Linked DNA regions of Callithrix jacchus. The protein of the gene in region 1 interacts with the protein of each later gene in a pairwise test. Links are inferred from orthologs where the notes say so. Each region holds a gene or a part of one and is shown in the gene's direction. Other genes may lie near its edges. The genes, in order: RAC1, SYNJ2, RAP1GDS1, RALBP1 and ARHGAP31.

Region 1 (4,303 bases):
CCGGGGCTTCCCAAATTGTTGGGATTTCAGGCGTGAGCCACCGGGCCCTGCCAGCAACAGTTTTTGTTTTTTGTTTTTGTTTTTTTTTGGCTGAATGGACATTGTTATTGCCAAATAAAGGTATGGTGTATGATTTTAGACTTCCTTATAGTTTTAGAATCCGAATTTTCTAGAAGGATCTAATGTAATCGCAGATAGTTATCAGATAAAGAATGAAACAGGAGGAATCAATGCCTTCTGATGGCCTCAAGCAGGTGTTAGCAACAGGGAGCTTGGCTCCTGCAACCACAGGTTCCTCTTTTTTTTTTTTTTTTTTAAGATGGAATCTCAATCTGTAGCCCAGGCTGGAGTTCAGTAGCACGATTTCAGCTCACTGCAACCTCCGCCTCCCAGGTTCAAGCCATTCTCTGCCTCAGCCTCCTGAGTAGCTGGGATTACAGGCACCTGCCACCACGCCCGGCTAATTTTTTTTTTGAGACGAAGTTTCGCTCCTGTTTAGCGTGCAATGGGGCGGTCTCAGCTCACCACAACTTCCGCCTCCTGGGTTCAAGCGATACCCATGCCTCAGCCTCCCAAGTAGCTGGGATTACACGCATGTGCCATCACGCCCGGCTAATTTTGTATTTTTAGTAGAGACGGGGTTTCTCCATGTTGGTCAGGCTGGTCTCGAACTCCCTATCTCGGGCCACCAGCCCGCCTCGCCCTCCCATCCGTATTTTCGGGCCTCCCGCCCGCCTAGGCCTCCCATGCCTATCTCGGGCCTCACAAAGTGCTGGGATTACAGGCATGAGCCACCGCGCCCGGCCTAATTTTTGTATTTTTTTTAGTAGGGACGGGTTTTCACCAGCGTTCGTTTCTTCCCGGACGCTGGTCTCGAAATGCTGACCTTGTAATCCACTTCGGCCTTCCAAAGTGTCAGGTTTACAGGCATGAGCAACCGCGCCCAGCTACTACAGGTTTTTCTTTCCTTTTTTTAAGACGGAGTTTCGCTCTTGTTACCCAGGCTGGAGTGCAAATGGCGCGATCTCGGCTCACCGCAACCTCCGCCTCCTGGGTTCAGGCAATTCTGCCCCAGCCTCATGAGTAACTGGGATTACAGGCACACGCCACCATGCCCAGCTAATTTTTTTGTATTTGTAGTAGAGACGGGGTTTCACCTTGTTGACCAGGATGGTCTCGATCTCTTGACCTCGTGATCCACCCGTCTCGGCCTCCCAAAGTGCTGTGATTACAGGCTTGAGCCACCGCGCACTGAACCCCAGAGAAAGGACCCGCAGATCCCGCCACGCCTATGCCGCGTTAGCGCGCAAAGATGGCAGCCGCCGCGCCCCGTGGGCGGAGACAAGCGGGCCCGAGCACTTCCGAGCGTTCCTGAAGCCCAGAGGAACTCCGGGAACCGCGCGGGCGGGAGCTGCCCCACCCGGAACCTGGGAGCGGCGGCGCCGGCGCGGGGGAGGGGAGGCCGGATGTGAGTGGAGCGGCCATTTCCTGTTTCTCTGCAGTTTTCCCCAGCTTTGGGTGGTGGCCGCTGCCGGGCTTCGGCTTCCAGTCCGCGGAGGGCGAGGCGGCGTGGACAGCGGCCCCGGCATCCAGCGCCCTGCCGTCCTCAAGCCGCGCGCCCGTCCGCCGCGCCCCGAGCCCGCCGCTTCCCGTTTCAGCGCCGTGCCGCTGCCGCCGCGGCCCAGCGAGCGGCCCAGATGCAGGCCATCAAGTGTGTGGTGGTGGGAGACGGGTAAGTGCGTTGCCGGGTCTGGGCTGGGGGCCGCGGGGGCGGGCGCGGGCCGGGGTGGGCGCGGGCGGGGGGCGGGCCGGGATTGGGGCCCAGGCAGGCCGGGATCCCTGGCGGGCTCGCGTAGGCGGTGGGCCTGGGCCTGTGGGGCACGGGGCGGGGGCCGCGGGCGCCGGCTGCCCGGGCGGCGCGTGCCTGGTTCCGGCTCTCGCTGGGGGAGGGCTTCGCCACTCGCCGGCCGGTGGAAAAAGTGAACTCCACCCTCCGGCTTTCTTCCCGGACGCCGCCCGCCGCCCGCCGCCCTCCCCGGGAGCCCTCGTAGAGGAAGCGCTCTTGGAGATTTTTACCGTTTTTCCAAAAAGGGACCCTCTCTTGTTTTTTTGCTTGAACCTCTCGATCCCTGGACCTCGAGAGCTGTGTTGGGAACCCGGCGGTTGAGTCGATCATATTTGATGCGTGCCCGATTGAACTGGCCGCTTTAGTGCCCCAAAGTTTTCTTTAAAAATTTTTTTTTTTTTTTTGCAGAGACGGAGTCTCGCTGTGTTGCCCAAGCTGGTCTTGAACTCCTCCTGGGTTCAAGCGATTCTCCCATCCCAGCCTCTCAAAATGCTGGGATTACAGGCGCCTACGCCTGGCTAATTTTTAAAACTTTTTGTAGAAATGGGGTCTCACTGTATTTCCCAGGCTGGTTTCGAATTCCTGGCTGGGATCAGGCGAACCTCCTGCCTGTCAGCCTCCAAAAGCGCTGGGTTGACACCGCGCCCGGCCCCCAAACTGATTTTTGAGCAGGTTTTTTCGACTTACACTTCTGCCACTGTTAGGATTCCTAAAATTAATGCTTTCTCCCTTTCCGAGGATAAAGTTTTTAAGATGCTCCCTGGCAGGAGCCATCTGTGATGGGGACTGTTCTTTTATCTTTCTTTATTTTATTTTATTTTTTTAAACGTGGTGTGGTCATTGAAAAAAAAAAAAAACTTTCTTGCTTAACGCGTTGGGTATGGGATGTAGCAGAACTGGCTCCTGTGACTCCAGGCGTTGCTTTTCATGACTGTCCGTGTTGGTTACAGGCCCTCGAGAAGGACAAGACTTGTTTTATGCCGTTTTTTTCTCCCATAGAAACAAAAATCTCAGTGTAACCCGAGCAAAATCGCGCGTCTCAGGCGTCGCTTGTATAGGTTAGTGTTAGCAAGGAAGAATTACTAACAGTTTCGTCAAACTCAGAATGCAACTGGTACATGTTCGAGTAAAGTCGAAGGAAAGTTAGGGCATCAAGGTTAACTTGGTTGATATTCTTCGAATTTGTCATTAGGTTTTGGTTTTATGCCTCTACGTCAATTCATGGATTCTCAGTGTATTTAGATAATTATACTGTTAAGACATTTGCAATTGTTTCAGTTATCCTTCTTGCAATTCAGATGCAAGAGGATAATTAGACAACTGATTTTTGTGAGAGGCCCATCTGTCGGATTTGTCTTGCAAGTGTGAAGGATTATTAACGCCTCATAATTTTATGTTTATATGATAACTAAAAATTGTAACTTTCAGTTAGAGTACGTATGCTGTTCAAGCTTTTTTTTTTTTTTTGACTCGGAGTCTCACTCCGTTGTCCAGGCTAGAGTGCAGCAGTGTGATCTCTGCTCACTGCACCCTCTGCCTCCCAGGTTAAAGTGGTCCTCCTGCCTCGGCCCCCCTAGCAGCTGGGATTACAGGCACGTGCCACCATGCTTGGCCGGTTTTTGTAATTTTAGTAGAGATGGGGTTTCGCCATATTGGCCAGGCTGGTTTTGACCTCCTGACCTTGTGATCCTCCTGCCTCAGCCTCCCAAAGTGCTGGGATTACAGGCATGAGCCATTGTGCCTGGCTGGGCTTTACTTTTTTATTTGGGAAAAGTGTTCAGTCAATTGATTGATAGTGACATCAGTGAATTGTTTCATTTAAAAAAAAATTTTCGAGACAGGGTCTCTCAGTGTTACACAGGTTGGAGTGCAGTTGTGCCATCTTGGCTCACTGCAACCTCCACTTCACCCGCTCAAGCGATTCTTAGCCTCCCGAGTAGCTGGGATTACAGGTGCCTGCCACCACGACTGGCTAGTTTTTGTATTTTTAGTAGAGATGAGGTTTCACCATGTTGGCCAGGGTGATTTTGAATTCCTGACTCAAGTGATCTGCCTGCCTTATCCTCCCAAAGTGCTGGGATTACAGGAGTGAGCCATGGCACCTGGCCCACCTTTTCTTAAGAACATTTAACATTATTTGGATTTCCTTTAAGCTAAAAACGCTGAATCAAGTTTTTTTTTTTTTGTTTGTTTGTTTGTTTTTTTTTTTGAGATGGGGTCTCAGTCTGTTGCCCAGGCTGGAGTGTGATAGTGTGATCTCGGCTCACTGCCACCTCCATCTCCTGAGTTCAAGCGATTCTCCTGCCTTAGCCTCCTGTGTAGGTGGTGTTACGGGCGCGTGCTACCACCCAGCTAATTTTTTGTATTTTTAGTAGAGATGAGGTTTCACCATGTTGTCCAGGCTGGTCTTGAACTCCTGACCTCAGGTGATCTGTCCACTTTGGCCTAGGATGACAG
Region 2 (3,514 bases), on another chromosome or scaffold:
GAAAATCATTCCAGGGCTCTTAAGCAGCATCTAGAGGATAAACTGAAATAAACTAAATTGAATTTTAAAAACAGGTTAATGCTGCCAGCACTAAGTCATTCTGCCAGCTTTATAAAAAAGACAAAGTTATAGTGTTTGTCCTAATTTCAGGCATAAAATCTACCTTTTAAATGGCTGGCAAGTGTAAGTAAAGTTCTTAGTGTCAGGCAGGGACCTCTTTCCTACCATCCTGTCTGTTTTCTCTTGCGGTTACTTCACTGAACCCACATTAGTCAGCTTGGCCTCTCCCCACTTCGTTCATAATCACTGGTAATTTACACTTTTACATTTGGCCTTGGCTTTGTTCCAGAATCTCCTTTGGCAAGAAGAGAGTGTGTCCTTTTTTTTTTTTTTTTTGAGACTGAGTTTCACTCTGTCACTTGGGCTAGAGTGCAGTGGCTCAACCCCAGCAACCTCTGCCTCCCAGGTTCAAGCAATTCTCCTGCCTCTGCCTCCTGAGTAGCTGGGACTATAGCCACGTACCACCATGCCCAGCTAATTTTTGTATTTTTAGTAGAAACAGGGTTTCACCATGTTGGCCAAGCTGGTCTCGAGCTCCCAACCTCAGGTGATTCACCCGCCTCAGCCTCCCAAAGTGCTGGGATTACAGGCGTGAGCCACCATGCCCAGCTGACTGTGCCCTTTGAAAAGGTGTGAGCAATCACCATTGCCTAGTTTGCTTTTAGTCAGCATGTTTAACTGCTTTGGAATTCTCAAATAATATTCAAGGGGGCATGCGTTAAAAGGTTGAGAACTACTGTTATAGAATAATACTGCCACAAATGGTTTCTTTTTTTATTTTAGAAAAATAACTAAAACTATGGATTTAACAAAGCAAGTTTCCATCAGCTGATAAATGGATAAACAAAATGTGATCCATCCATACAATGGAATATTGTTAAGCCATTGAAAAAGAACGCAGTGCTGATACGTACTACCTCATAGGTGGACCTTGGAAAGATTTTGCTATGTGAAAGAAAGAAGGAAAACAATAAAGGCCACATAGTATACCATCCCTTTTTATGAAATGGCCACAGCCAGCAAATTCATGGGGTCAGAAAGCGCTTTGTGCTTCCCAGGGTCTGGAAAGAGGGGTGGGTGGGGAGTGACTGCTGATGGTGTGGGGCTTCTTTTTTGTGTGATGAAAATGTTCTGGAGTTAGACGGTAGTGATGGTTGCACAACTTTGTGAATATAATAAAAACAATGAAGGGTACACTTAAAAAGGGTCAGTTTCACCGTATGTGAATTATATCACAATAAAGCTGTTTAAAAAAACAAAAACTAGTGATGTAGACGTTACTAGAGGTTTGAAATCTACCTGCAGTCTCAGCTTAACACGCTCTTGGTCATGGCCCCACTGAGATTTGGATGTATGTGGATCATCTCCCCTGAGAAATGTAAGTACACATGAGACTTTGCATATGGTCTCAGGGTCTCACTGGTCCACATCCAGACTATCCACAGACCCCAGATCACCACCCCTGCTAGGAAGGTGAATGTGAAAAGCTGGGGCTACAGGGCGCAGTGGCTCACGCCTATGATCCCAGCACTTTGGGAGGCTGGGGCAGGAGCATTGCTTGAGTCCAGGAGGTCAAGGCAAAAATTTATTTTATTTCATTTTATTTATTTATAACAAGAGTCTCACTTTGTCATGATGTGGCGCAATTTCAGCTCACTGTAAGCTCTGCCTCCCAGAGGAGGAGATTGAAGTGATTCTCCTGCCTCAGCCTCCCGAGTAGCTGGGACTACAGGCACACACCACCACACCTGGCTACTTTTTGTATTTTTAGTAGAGATGGGGTTTTACCATGTGGGCCGAGCTGGTCTTGAACTCCTAACCTCATGATCTGCCCACCTTAGCCTCCCACAGTGCTGGGATTATAGGCATGAGCTACCGTGCCCTGCCCAAAAAATTTAAAATTAGCTGGGCATGGTAGTTCGCACCGATAGTCCCAGCTACTTGGGAGGCTAAGGTAAGACTGCGTGAGCCCAGGAGTTCCAGCAACATAGTGAGACCTCATCTCTGCTAAAAATTAAAAAAAAAAAAAAATAGCTGGGCATGGTGGCACTCACCTGTAATCCCAGCTACTCAGGAGGCTGAAGCGGGAGAACTACTGGAGCCTGGGAGGTTGAGACTGCAGTGAGTCGTGATTGCACCACTGCACTCCAGCCTGGGTGACACAGCACAATCCCACCTTAAAAAATAAATAGTGAGAAAAGCTGGGACTGAACCTAGCTGGTTAGTCCGGAAATACACTGAATTAGTAAATTACCCTTAGGATGTAGACTGTCTAAAGAGGAAATCATGCAGTGAATTACCTCACCCTTGACACTGCCGCCATGTGGTTTTATGTTTCAGGTGCCTCAGAAGAAGCCTTCAACACCATGGCCCTGAGGGACCAAGCATCCTCTGAACCAGAGCCCATACCAGGGGCAGCCAAACCAGAGACCCCACAGGCACCCCCGCTCCTGCCCCGCCGCCCCCCACCCAGAGTTCCTGCCATCAAGAAGCCAACCTTGAGAAGGACAGGAAAGGTAACAGCCTGGTAACATAAAGCCTCTTACTCCTAAGTCGCTCGGATATCTTGATAGATAAGAATTGTGTCTCACAGACAAAAAATCTAGTTACCTATGGACATCCTCTGTTCATGAGTTCCAGACACAGGCGTGTCTTTGGGGAAGGGTTTGACGACTGCTTCCTCCCTCATGCCCCACTGTGTCTTGGCTCTGGCTGAGAAGAACAAGGGGTCCACTGTCTTCGCAGATTGTCAGTGTGACGAGAACAGCTTGGAGGTATTATGCTTCCTAAGTGTTCTGGATCCCCAGAGGGAAACACAGTGGGATGCTTTTCCCCTCGTGTTCTGGTACCGCGCATTTGCATGTGGTCTGTGTTGTGTGCACGTGGTTTCAAGGCATTAGAAAAACAGTAACCGATTCCCAGATTTGCCAGGTTCCAGGCTCTCGTGTGGCCTCGGTCTATGTGAGGTTCCACAGCTTTTCTTGACACTTTTCTTGCAGATTGTTTTTTGCTCTCGCTCTCAAGCTTCTCAGCCTTGCTTACTGCTTCAAAGACATGAGTTTGTAAGGACAGTAGCAGCCCAAAGACTGGCATCTGTAGACACATCTGGATCTTCCGTTTGATCTCAGTGTTCTAGTGACGGACCCTCGGTAATCCCTCCCTGGTCATCCCAGCGTGGCGCCGCTTCCCCCAAGGGAGTGTGAGCAGTGACTTTGGCTTCACTCTTGGCAGCACTTGCTTTGTAGTTCCTGGGTTGCTCTTCCATCCCACGTTGGCTCATTGCCATCCATCCCTTGTCCATGCCTCCTTACAAAGTGGACCTTTTTCGTCCCCCTTTTTCCCGTTCAGATGTTCCTCGACTTAAAATGGGGTTATGTCCCCAATAAACCCATCATAAGTTGAAAATTACCATGTCAAACCTGCATCTAATACACCTAACCTACCAAACGTCATA
Region 3 (3,514 bases), on another chromosome or scaffold:
TCTGTAAATACTACCCTAGGCATTTTCTCATTTTTCTATCTCACATGCTGTTGAGGTGATGATTTTGACATTTTAAACACATCATTGATAGAACCAGATATAATGAACCCAAAAAAGAAGTGTCTTCACTATCTTCCAATATTTGAAGAGCTGTCACATAGAAGAGACAGTTTTGTCACCAAGGGACTGAAGAAAAGCTAGATGGCTCCCTGAGACTTGGACTAGAAAGATGCTAAACTCTGTTGTCTAGTAACTATTAAAAGATTTTATAAAAAGAATTGTTACTTTTCCCATTATGAATGTAATACTTTCTGAGGTATGTAGTTTCCCTGTTGGATATTCACCCAAGAATATGAATTTGTTACTTCTAGTTACTTTTCTCTTGCCTAACTATTTGTTTCATTTACCTCCAGATGAATCCATGCAGAAGTTATTTGAAGGAGGAAAAGGCAGTGTATTTCAAAGGGTGCTTTCTTGGATTCCATCAAATAACCACCAGCTACAGCTTGCTGGAGCATTGGCAATTGCAAATTTTGCCAGAAATGGTAAGCATATTATTTCCTTCTTTGTTAGTCAAATATTCCATATTCGTTTACTTTTGCTTTGCCATCACATATACTAAACTGGAACAATGTAGAACTTTGTGTAATATGTGTGTATGCTGCTAACTTAATTTTTCAGAAATCTGAAATACTTATAGTGACATTCCTAACAAATTACGTATGTTATGCAATTCAACTAAATTCTAAGGGTTTAAAGGTCATGAAGTACTTCTTTTGAGTACTTTGTACTTCAGAGCTAAGCTTGAATCCCATTCTAGTATACATCTGCTCTCTTGTGCCTAGTGATTTTATTTTGCATCTAATTATCCGAGTATTCATTCTAGAATTATTGTGCCTCAACTTACACTTTTAAGCTCATAAAATTTAAGTATGAGTAATCCTCTGACTTCCTGTAGAATATTTAATTTAGTTTAATAATATTTCGGGGGGTACCAGACTTCTATGTTTATGAAATCTGGCACTCCTAAAAAACTCAAATACAGTCTAGAAACTCATTCTCTGTTACCCAGGAAATATACTATGTCTAGGAAATATTGGTTATTTTTCTTTTTAGTTTAATTGTCTTTCAATACACACTGTTGGTATACATCATAATGGCTGACTTCATTTTTACTCCTTCTTTTTGGGAGTGACTCCCTAATAATGGAGGTTAGAGTGGCATAATATGGATAATTATTGAAACTAGATATGGGATAAATTTATAATAGTTCATTATAATATTCTGTGTGCTTTGCAAATGTTTGAAAAAGAAATTAGGTATCAGCCATGATAACAAAAGGTAGAGTACTATCACTGTAACATTGGCAGAACACAAGCATTCATCAAAATAAATGAAAAATATTGGACATTCTAACCATATGTTTCTACTTCTGACATATTATCTCTAAGGATTTTTCTGGTAATTTTTCTGATTTTTTAAATTTTATCTAGTTTAAGAATTTTTATAATACTTGTCACTCAGAAAACAGAAAAACCTATAAATCTGATGGGAGAAAGATTTGGAATCCATTTTATTGTATAGCTCCATTTTCCCTGATGTAGATAATAGGCCGATGTCAGTAGTGTAAAATATTTATAGAAATTTTAAAGAAGAAAAAAAAAATGTTTTTTTCTTTCTCAGACGGAAATTGTATTCATATGGTAGACAATGGGATTGTAGAAAAACTTATGGATTTACTGGACAGACATGTAGAAGATGGAAATGTAACAGTACAGCATGCAGCACTAAGTGCCCTCAGAAACCTGGCCATTCCAGGTAAGACTTAAGAATAGAAGGCAGCTGTGTAAACAGTAAAATCCATCATTTGGGGAAGCCATTTAGTGTTATGTGATTTGTAAACCCGCTTTGATGAAGAAAATTTAAAGTCTTCACATTGTTCACATTTTTTCATACTAATAAGTGGAGATCATATGTCAAATAAGTTTTGCGAGACAGTACAAGAATAATCATTGCCTTCATTCAGACATCCTATTACCTATTGCGGACTCTTAGATTTTCATCATGTTGTATAGTTAAGCTTTCTTAAGTTTGTTTGTTTTTTTGTTGTTATTTTGAGATGGTGTCTCACTCTGTCACCCACACTAGAATGCAATGATGCAATCTTTGCTCACCGCAGCCTCTACCTTCTGGGCTCAAGTTGTCCTCCCACCTCAGCCTTCTGAGTAGCAGGGACTACAGGAATGTGCCACCATGTCCAGCTAACTTTTTTTTTTTTTTTTGAGACAGAGTCTCGCTCTGTTGCCAGGCTGGAGTGCAGTGGTGTGATAGCTCACTGCAACCTCCGCCTCCTGGGTTCAAGTGATTCTCCTGCCTTAGCGTCCTGAGTAGCTGGGACTACAGGTGCATGCCACCAGGCCCAGCTAATTTTTGTATTTTTAGTAGAGACAGGGTTTCACTGTGTTAGCCAGGCTGGTCTCAATCTCCTGACCTTGTGATCCACCCACCTCGGCCTCCCAAAGTGCTAGGATTGCAGGCATGAGCCACCGTGCCCAGCCTGATTTTTTATTTTTTGTAGAAACCTGATCTCACTATGTTGTCCTGGCTAGTCTTGAACTCCTGGGCTCAAGCAGTCTGCTCACCTTGGCCTCCCAAAGTGCTGGGATTACAGGTGAGAACCACCGCACCAGGCCATAAGCATCTTTAGTGAAGAATGACTTTCAGTTGTTGTTGTTATTTTCCTGTAAGCAGACAGTTTTTAAAAAATAGCCTTAATGTGTCTTTGTAAGTTATGAAATCACATTATTGTGGAAAATAATGCAAAAGATAGTTACAACTATTTCTTTATTCTACTTTCTAAAAGTAAATTTCTGGTTAGATGAAATAGTATAATTATATGATGATCCAATCCAGTTGAATTCAACTTGGTTTATATAGGATAGTAACATTTATTAATGTCTGTAACATTTATATTAATACAGTTGGATCAAAAACAGAATTGTGTTTTTTTGTTCTAAGAGGGTAACATTTTCAGATTTTCTTTACAAAGTAAAGAAGACATTTCTTTGTAAGTAAATGTTTCGAATGGGGTTTAAAAAGCGAGAAAGTATATTTTCTGTTATGCGCTTATACACAAACAGGAGAGGGACACACAAACATTAGATTCCATTCTTAAAATTGACAGAAAAGTAACAGGATTGTTTCTAAATGGAAAAATATAACACGGATCTTAAAGACACACAATAAATGTGTATTGAATTGAATGTTTATCAACAGGAATGCTAATACCATTTTTAACCATAGTCTTTCTTTTTCTCCAGTTATAAATAAAGCAAAGATGTTATCAGCTGGGGTCACAGAGACAGTTTTGAAATTTCTTAAATCTGAAATGCCCCCTGTTCAGTTCAAACTTCTGGGAACATTAAGAATGTTAATAGATGCTCAAGGTAAAAGAAATGTTTTCCCCAACTTGTATTTTTGATATAATAGTCTTAATGTGCCTCTAGTTGAAAAA
Region 4 (3,514 bases), on another chromosome or scaffold:
TGTCCCAGCTCTGTTCAGATTAAAGGTATACTTAAAAAATCCAAACTTTGAAATAGAAATTAGATGTGGATTGTTTAATGGAGAATAATCTTCAAAGAGTTTGTTTGGGTAGCTAACTCACCTTTTGCAGTTACAGTACAATATTTACACATGTACAGTATTTACACATAAAAAGTCATTTACCCACAACTTTTTGGAACATACTTATGTACACCAAGTTGCATTTTTTGTCAGTCTTGTGACTTGTTGGAAAAAGCAGTTGGCTGCCTGTGTAAAGCAAGACTTACACTTGGATTGTAGTGTGTCTGACTTTTACCTTTTTTTTTTTTTGAGACAAGAGTCTTGCTCTGTTGCCCAGGCTGGAGTACAATGGCATGATCTCGGCTCACTGCAACCTCTGCCTCCCGGGTTCAAATGATTCTCCTGCCTTAGCTAGATTACAGGCGCCTGCCACCATGCCCAGCTAATTTTTGTATTTTTAGTAGAGACGAGGTTTCACCATGTTGGCCAGGCTGGTCTTGAGCTCCTGACCTTGTGATCCGCCTGCCTTGGCCTCCCAAAGTGCTGGGATTACAGGTGTCAGCCACCGCGCCAGGCCACACCTAATCACTTTTACATTAAAAAAAAATTCATGAATTGATGGGCATATTTGCGTAATGTATCCATGGTTGCTTTGACTTTTGTTCTGAATGTTGAGTTTTTCAATTCTTATTTAACTTTTGGTTAAATTCACTTTTGAAGTGTAGTTTTTTGGGTTTCCTTTTTTAGATGGAGTCTCGCTCTGTCACCAGGCTGCAGTACAATGGCATGATCTTGGCTGACTGCAGCCTCTGCCTCCCAGGTTCAAGTGATTCTCCTGCCTCAGCCTCCCAAGTAGCTGGACTATAGGCATGTGCCACCATGCCTGGCTAATTTTTATATTTTCAGTAGAGACAAGGGTTTCACCATGTTGGCTAGGCTCATGTTGGACTCCTGACTTCAAATGATCTGCCTGCCTTGGCCTCCCAAAGTGCTGGGATTACAGGTGTGAGCTACCACACCCAGCCTATTGTTAATTAATTTTTTTATTTTTTGAGACAGTGTCTTACTCTGTCCCCCAGGCTGGAATACAGTGGCACAACTATGGCTCATTGTAGCCTCAACCTCCCAGGCTCAAGTGGTCCTCCCAACTCAGCCTCCCACAGAACTGGGACCACAGGTACATGCCACCATGTCCAGCTAATTTTTGTATTTTTTGTAGAGACAGGTTTTCACCATGTTGCCCAGCTTGTCTTGAGCTCCTGGGCTCAAGTGATTCGCCTGCCTCAGCCTCTCAAAGAGCTGGGGTTTTTGGGTGTGAACCACTGCGCCTGGCCAAGTGTTGTCTTACACGTTGGTGTTTACAGAGGAATTGTATGACCTTTGTGCAGATAAATATTTCATAGGAAGAGGTTTGTTATTGTTCAGGTTGCTGTTCTCAGATCCCTAGCAAGGGTGTGTGAAATGGTGAAGAAAGCTTGTGTGTTTTATTTTATTTTCTCAGTATCTTCTCTCTTCTGAATTTGAATGTTTTAAGGAATTAAATCAAAGGTGGATGAGCTAAAAGCAGCCTATGACCGAGAGGAGTCTACAAACTTGGAAGAATATGAGCCTAACACTGTAGCCAGTTTGCTGAAGCAGTATTTGCGAGACCTTCCAGAGAATTTGCTTACCAAAGAGCTTATGCCCAGATTTGAAGAGGCTTGTGGGAGAACCACGGAGACTGAGAAAGTGCAGGAATTCCAGCGTTTACTCAAAGAACTGCCAGAATGTAACTATCTTCTGATTTCTTGGCTCATTGTGCACATGGACCATGTCATCGCAAAGGAACTGGAAACAAAAATGAACATACAGAACATTTCCATAGTGCTCAGCCCAACTGTGCAGGTACATGGTCTTCTCTACACACATCCCCTCTAGTACTGACACTGGGGAATCGGAGTACATTTTCTATTGCTGAGTCACATGTAAAGCAGTGAACTTGAGAAGATAGGTAATGGATTAGCTTGAATACAGGTCTTTTTCTTTCATAATGTGGACAGTGTCAAGGTATAAGATAATGAACATACTTGCCCTTTAGCTTGTAATGATGTAATGTGAATATGGTATAGTCTTTGATGGGGGTTTATAAATAAGGCCTGATGACAGGGATTGTTTGTTATTGGAGCAGGAGCCCATGGCATCTACAGTTAGAGAGTTCATGTGTAGAATTTTAGAGATGCCAGTTATTTCATCAAATAGCATTATTACTTAATTATATCACAAACACGCATCAAACTCAAGCACAAAAGGACCTAAAATTAATTTGTTTGGTCAAATATTTAGCCTGAGGATTTCATTCATAAGGATGGATCCTAGAGGGACATGTTACAGGCTCTGAATCTGAGAAGGTACTTCAGGAAATTGGGTAATATGTTAATTGGTATCTTTTTACAACATACACGTTGACCTTTCTTTGTTGCTGCTCAATTGGTGCTGTCATAGAGTATATGTTTTCCTTTAATTAGAGTTAATGATGTTTTGCTCAGGCCAATAAAAGGGAGATGATAGGTTATATTTATTATCTTAAGCCCTCTTTTTGGCCAGTATTCTAAGTCACCATAAATGACTGTTGCTGTTATGAGAGTGTGTTTTTATTTACTAAAGAGTCTTTCAGTGAGGCACAGTGGCTCACACCTGTAATGCCAGCACTTTAGAAAGCCATGGCAGGAGGATAGTTAGAGGCCAGGAGTTCAGCTAGGCAACATAGCAAAAAAAAAATAAAAAATTAGCTGGGTGTGGTAGCATGTACATGTAGTCTCAGTTACTTTGGAGGCTGAGGTAGAAGGCTTGCTTGAGCCCATTAGTGAGCTATGATCATGCCACTGTACTCCAGTCTGGGTGACAGAGCAAGAATCTATCTCTAAAAAATAAAGATTCTTTTGTTATTCATTGATTACACTTTGAAAGCAAAAGTTTCTCAGATTTTAGTTTGGTCATATTAGGATTTCAGGATCTGGTAAATATTACATTGATACTTAATATTACTGTAATATAGATGATCGTATCATAGGAGAGCCAAGTGTGTTGTAAGAGTTAAGTTTTAGGTAGGAAATAATTTCTTATATTAGCTTTTCAGTCATCCTAATGCTCTGATCTTCTAGCATATGAACATCCATACGTAAATTGAGCTTTCAACCTCAATCCAGCTTTACTACTGTAGTTCTCTGGCTTCCCTCACAGTCCTCATTCAGCCCATTGTATCTGTAAAAGATCTCAAAGTAAGTTGAAAATAAAGAACATAAGATGTTTTAGCCGGGCACCGTGGCTCACGCCTATAATTGCAGCACTTTGGGAGGTTGAGGTGGGTGGATGATTTGAGGTCAGGAGTTTGAGACCACCCTGGCCAACATGGTGAAACCCTGTTTTTACTAAAAATACAAGAAAATCAGCTGGGCATAGTGGCACACACCTGTAATCCCAGCTTACCAGTAAGGGAGGCTCAGGCAGGAAAATC
Region 5 (4,234 bases), on another chromosome or scaffold:
ATCTCCCATTTCTTCAAGAGAAGCCAGAAATTCACATCTTATGTGAAATCTCTTATCTTTTTAATGCTGGCTACAAATTTTAAAACATTTTAAAGCCTGGTGTCTGCCAGCCAAGCACATCTATGGGCCAGATCTGGCAGGCTGGCTATCAAGTTCTGACCTCTGACATACAGAAAATGTCAAGGATCAAAGTTCATAAACTGTTAAGGTGATACCTAGAGAGACAGTGACTACAAAGGGATTTAGTACCTAAAATGCTACAGATGCAGCTTTGCCAGCAATCTGAACCCTGAATGCCCCTACCCTTCAAGACTGTATATGGATTTGAATTTATACAGGAAGTTTCATCTAATCCTCAAATGGTTAAATCACAAGAATTTGAGTGCTTACTGTGTGCTGAGTACACAAAAGTCAAGGAATTTAGAATCTAACTGGAGAAAGAAAAACATGCCCTCCTGAAACAACTTGAGACAAATTATGAAACAACCTGGGAGACTGCTTTCTTCACATTTAAGATGTCAGAGGCACCTTAAATCCTGGTTTGTCGCCCACCCTCCCCCCATCACTTCCATTTAGCACCAGAAATCTGACTTCCTGGGCAGCGGTTACAAAGCTGCAGCCTCTCTTTGCCCAGAGGTATCTTTACCCCAGTGTGGGAGGGGAGTGAGCCGGGGTGGGGGGTGCACGGACGCGGCGGAGGAGGAAGGGATGGGAGTGCCCGGCGTGAAGCCACACTGCCTGTCAGGTTTCTCCGCCGCCGTCCCGTCGACCGGCGGGCACCAAAATAGAAAGTGTCAAAGATACGATGACAACGAGGATAAAACCAGGGCAGAGCGTTCCGAAAGTCCCATCCAGCACGGTCCCCGCAGAACGCCAGCGCACCTCCTCCTGCCGCTTCAAAGAGCCGGCTCGGCGGGGCAGGAAGCGGCGTCTGCGGCTGCGGGTCCTGAGAGGAGCGCGCGATTTCCTCCCCGGCTGCCCAGTTATCTCTGGAGCCGCTGAACAGCTCTCGGGAGAACGCGTTCTCTCCCCCACCCCGTGCTCCTCAACCCACCCACCTACTTCCTCCGGCTCCACACACTCACAAGCGCGGAGCTGCCAAAAATTTCCACCCTCCGCCCCCCTCCCTAGCTAACTTCCTTCCAGCGTTTCCTGAGCTGGATGATCCTAGGATTTGTAAGACAGGAAAAAAAGGAAGGCGTGAGGGCGGGCAGGAGGGACAGGATGCTTGTTTTTCGCTCTACCAAAGCCGTCTGAAGGCGAGACCGCGGGCCCAGGGCGCAGGACCCGCCGCAGACCCCGGGCCGTCTCCTCGCCCCGCGCCGCTGCCTCCGCGCCGCGTCCTCTCCAGGGCACTCGAGAAGGCGGGGAGAGAGCGCGCCCTCCCTCCGAGGCGCAGGAGAAACGCCCGAAGACACCGCAGGAGCCTGTGAAAGTCCCTGGGACTCCCAGTGAGGAAGTGACACTCCCAGGCTAGCCGGCCCGCGGCTGCCAGTCTGCACGGCCTCGGCACGGCGGCCCCGGAGCGGCGCGGGGTGGATCTCAGGCTCTGCCGGCCCGCGCCCCGCGGGGTCCATGCGCAGGGCCCCCCGCCCGGCTCCTTCCGTCCTGTCCTCCGATGCGGCCTCCCAGAGCCGCGGGGCAGCCGGTGATCTAGCCCGGGAGCCAGTCTTACAGCGGTGCCAAGCAGAGGGGCGGCGGAGACGGAGGGGCAGCCTCTTTGGGACTAACTCATGAAGAACAAGGGTGCCAAGCAGAAGCTGAAACGAAAGGGAGCCGCCAGCGCGTTTGGCTGTGACCTGACGGAGTATCTGGAAAACTCGGGACAGGATGGTAATGTGCCTTGCTTGGCCTTTCCCCCCTTCTTTTTGTTTGAGGGAGAGATGGACTGTCTTGGGCTGTGTTAGAATCGGTTCACAAGTTAATGTATTCCAGGCCTGTGCGCTCATTGTACTTTTTTTTTTTTAAAGAACGTAAACGATTCTTAAGGTGCACAGGGCTGCTGTCCCGACGCGCAGAGGCAGCTGTGTCAATCCTTCCGTTGTTTCACATAAGCCGTTAATGGGTGGTACTGCCTCAAGTTTACCCGGCCACCTCTGGCGATGGGGGTGGAAGCTGCAGAGATCCAGATCCTAAACTTTGTGTGCTGGAAGGGAGGGAGGAGGGTGGACATGTGGGATGGTGATCAGTGGGCTTCCCTGGGTACAGAATCATGACCGCCTTTGCTGTCCCTCCTGGGCTCTCCAATTTCGTTTGCTCACATCTTTTTTTATTATTGTGTTAGAAGGCAGTTGGGGGTGGCGGGTGGGGGAGGATCCTGGCTGAAGGAGTGGTTGCACAAACATTTCTGAATTTCTGAGCTGATGCCAAATATATAGTACCTCCACCCCCATTCCACAACCCCCCAAGACCTTTTCCCTCCTCTTGGCTTTCAGATTAACATTTGGTGTGTTAGACAAGAAGAGTGTTGTAGAAAGGTCAGAGGGCCTTGATTTTTAAATAGTTTAGGGTAAGTAGAGAAAAGGAAAACTTCGCTGTTTTCAAGGTCAGATTGGGGGAAAAAATGTGGGGAGGGGTGAATCCATTGGAGACAATTTAAACATTTGTTGGGGAAAGAGGAAAGAAAACTATGTAGATTTCAATAACAGCGTTTGAGCTTAGAAGCGTTTAATCATAGGAAAGTTGGAAAATTGAGCATTAAATGACTCCTTTTGCAAGGTTGACTGGTTTTGCACTTACCCATGACAAAAAGGCCTTGTCTTTAGAAGCTTCAGTGAGAGGGAAAGTAGCCTAATATATGGGCCATGTGTTTATACATAGATAGATACAACAAAGGGGAAAACATAAGGGCTGTGTAACTGTGCAGAATTATTCTGCCCCAGGAAAGTAATCTCAAAAACTATTTGATTAGTCCATATCAAATATGCATTTGAAAAACAGTGCAATGCTTTTGTTTCACTTCCGTTTTTTTGGGAGACTCAGCACCACCTAGTAATTTGCAGTGGTGTGATATTCCTGTGGTATTCTAGAGTTCAGTCTGCTGTGTCATTAGGACAAATGGCTTAGTATTTTAGAGCTTGGAGAACTATTTCAAAACTGACTCTTTTGAAATTGATACATAACTGAATGATTCATTGAATCCTCACCAACCAGCTGGAGAGGTAGATTTGAGATAAAAATCACTTGGTTTGAGTTTTTTTGGATGTGAGGGAACTCTAAGTATGCCTCTTACTCACCATTGTCACAAGTTTACAATGAAATGTTTTCCTTCACCTGTTGTTGTAGGGGCCTTCAAGTTAACCTCCAGGCACACTAGGAATGCTCCTGGGATGCTACCTTTCACCATGTGGGTGTTATTCTGGCCCCTCCCTCAAAGCCATGAGAGTTGTATAGGGGCGCTTGCCAGCCCTGTTCATTCTTACAAACTAATAGATCATAGAAAAAGCCAGAACCCCAGGGTTCTGTGAAGATACCTCAAAGGCAGCCTTAGACAGCTGTTCTTTCACCTGCTTTATATTTAGGGCTTCTGGATATGTTTCATTTAAACCAAAAAAAAAAAAAAAGAAAAGAAAAGGACTACTGCTTAAAAGAATGGCAAACCAGTACCCAGTGCTCCCCACCCTGGGGAGGAGGAAAGAAAGTCCAGAGGGGTCAATTGGACTGCCTAAGGTGATACAGCTGATGATGAGGGATCAGAGGGCCCTCCCTGGCCTGTTAGGTTCCTCTGCCCTCACTGGCTTCTATGTCTAAGCCAACATTCTCTTCTAATGATATTTTCCCCCTAAATTGAAAGCAGACAGCCCTGCTACAGGATCAGCAAACTTTCAAGTTTGAGATGAGAGTTCAGCTTTGAAAGGAAAGGCAACTGACCCACTTAATGATCCACACACCGTTATTGTGCTACACGGAAATTACACATGCATAATAAGCTGCTTATGTAAATAAGAGTAATTAGAATTTATTTTTTTCCCACAGCTAAAACTAGTTGAATAGTTTTTTTTTTTTTTTTCCTGTGTTTGCTATAGTGTAGCATCTATGAACAAAGTCAGGGCTAATAATTTTCTCTAAAGTAATGTTGCTTTTTTGTGGACTTTCTGAAACATGTATTGGTTCATAGACAAGGCCTGGACTCTGCTTCTGGGAGGAAAAGCTGAGCTGGGCACTGGCCCATTGCCCACCACCTTGGAAGATCAGCCCAGAATGCTGAGGGTGCCAAGTCAGTGTGGTAACTGGG

What was found.
Region 2: the proteins of RAC1 (region 1) and SYNJ2 interact in a two-hybrid assay, tested with the Homo sapiens proteins (2 studies listed by BioGRID and IntAct). The link is inferred for Callithrix jacchus from reciprocal best matches to the Homo sapiens genes RAC1 and SYNJ2.
Region 3: the proteins of RAC1 (region 1) and RAP1GDS1 interact in binary tests that used the Homo sapiens proteins (3 or more experiments, as listed by UniProt). The link is inferred for Callithrix jacchus from reciprocal best matches to the Homo sapiens genes RAC1 and RAP1GDS1.
Region 4: the proteins of RAC1 (region 1) and RALBP1 interact in a two-hybrid assay, tested with the Homo sapiens proteins (2 studies listed by BioGRID, with this or other methods). The link is inferred for Callithrix jacchus from reciprocal best matches to the Homo sapiens genes RAC1 and RALBP1.
Region 5: the proteins of RAC1 (region 1) and ARHGAP31 interact in a two-hybrid assay, tested with the Homo sapiens proteins (2 studies listed by BioGRID and IntAct, with this or other methods). The link is inferred for Callithrix jacchus from reciprocal best matches to the Homo sapiens genes RAC1 and ARHGAP31.

Annotation. Positions count from the first base shown.
Region 1 is NC_133503.1:16,113,104-16,117,406, forward strand, and holds the start of RAC1 (ras-related C3 botulinum toxin substrate 1), read left to right. Parts: upstream 1-1,490; 5' UTR 1,491-1,697; coding exon 1,698-1,732; intron 1,733-4,303. UniProt on the Homo sapiens protein: Plasma membrane-associated small GTPase which cycles between active GTP-bound and inactive GDP-bound states.
Region 2 is NC_133505.1:164,910,180-164,913,693, forward strand, and holds part of SYNJ2 (synaptojanin-2), read left to right. Parts: intron 1-843; coding exon of another isoform or gene 844-851; exon of another isoform or gene 852-1,322; intron 1,323-2,400; coding exon 2,401-2,576; intron 2,577-3,059; coding exon of another isoform or gene 3,060-3,182; exon of another isoform or gene 3,183-3,259; intron 3,260-3,514. UniProt on the Homo sapiens protein: Inositol 5-phosphatase which may be involved in distinct membrane trafficking and signal transduction pathways. May mediate the inhibitory effect of Rac1 on endocytosis.
Region 3 is NC_133504.1:99,093,662-99,097,175, reverse strand, and holds part of RAP1GDS1 (rap1 GTPase-GDP dissociation stimulator 1), read left to right. Parts: intron 1-413; coding exon 414-545; intron 546-1,683; coding exon 1,684-1,818; intron 1,819-3,320; coding exon 3,321-3,446; intron 3,447-3,514. UniProt on the Homo sapiens protein: Acts as a GEF (guanine nucleotide exchange factor) for the Rho family of small GTP-binding proteins (G proteins) that stimulates the dissociation of GDP to enable subsequent binding of GTP.
Region 4 is NC_133514.1:53,424,154-53,427,667, reverse strand, and holds part of RALBP1 (ralA-binding protein 1), read left to right. Parts: intron 1-1,555; coding exon 1,556-1,905; intron 1,906-3,514. UniProt on the Homo sapiens protein: Multifunctional protein that functions as a downstream effector of RALA and RALB. As a GTPase-activating protein/GAP can inactivate CDC42 and RAC1 by stimulating their GTPase activity.
Region 5 is NC_133516.1:83,509,680-83,513,913, reverse strand, and holds the start of ARHGAP31 (rho GTPase-activating protein 31), read left to right. Parts: upstream 1-1,429; 5' UTR 1,430-1,733; coding exon 1,734-1,833; intron 1,834-4,234. UniProt on the Homo sapiens protein: Functions as a GTPase-activating protein (GAP) for RAC1 and CDC42. Required for cell spreading, polarized lamellipodia formation and cell migration.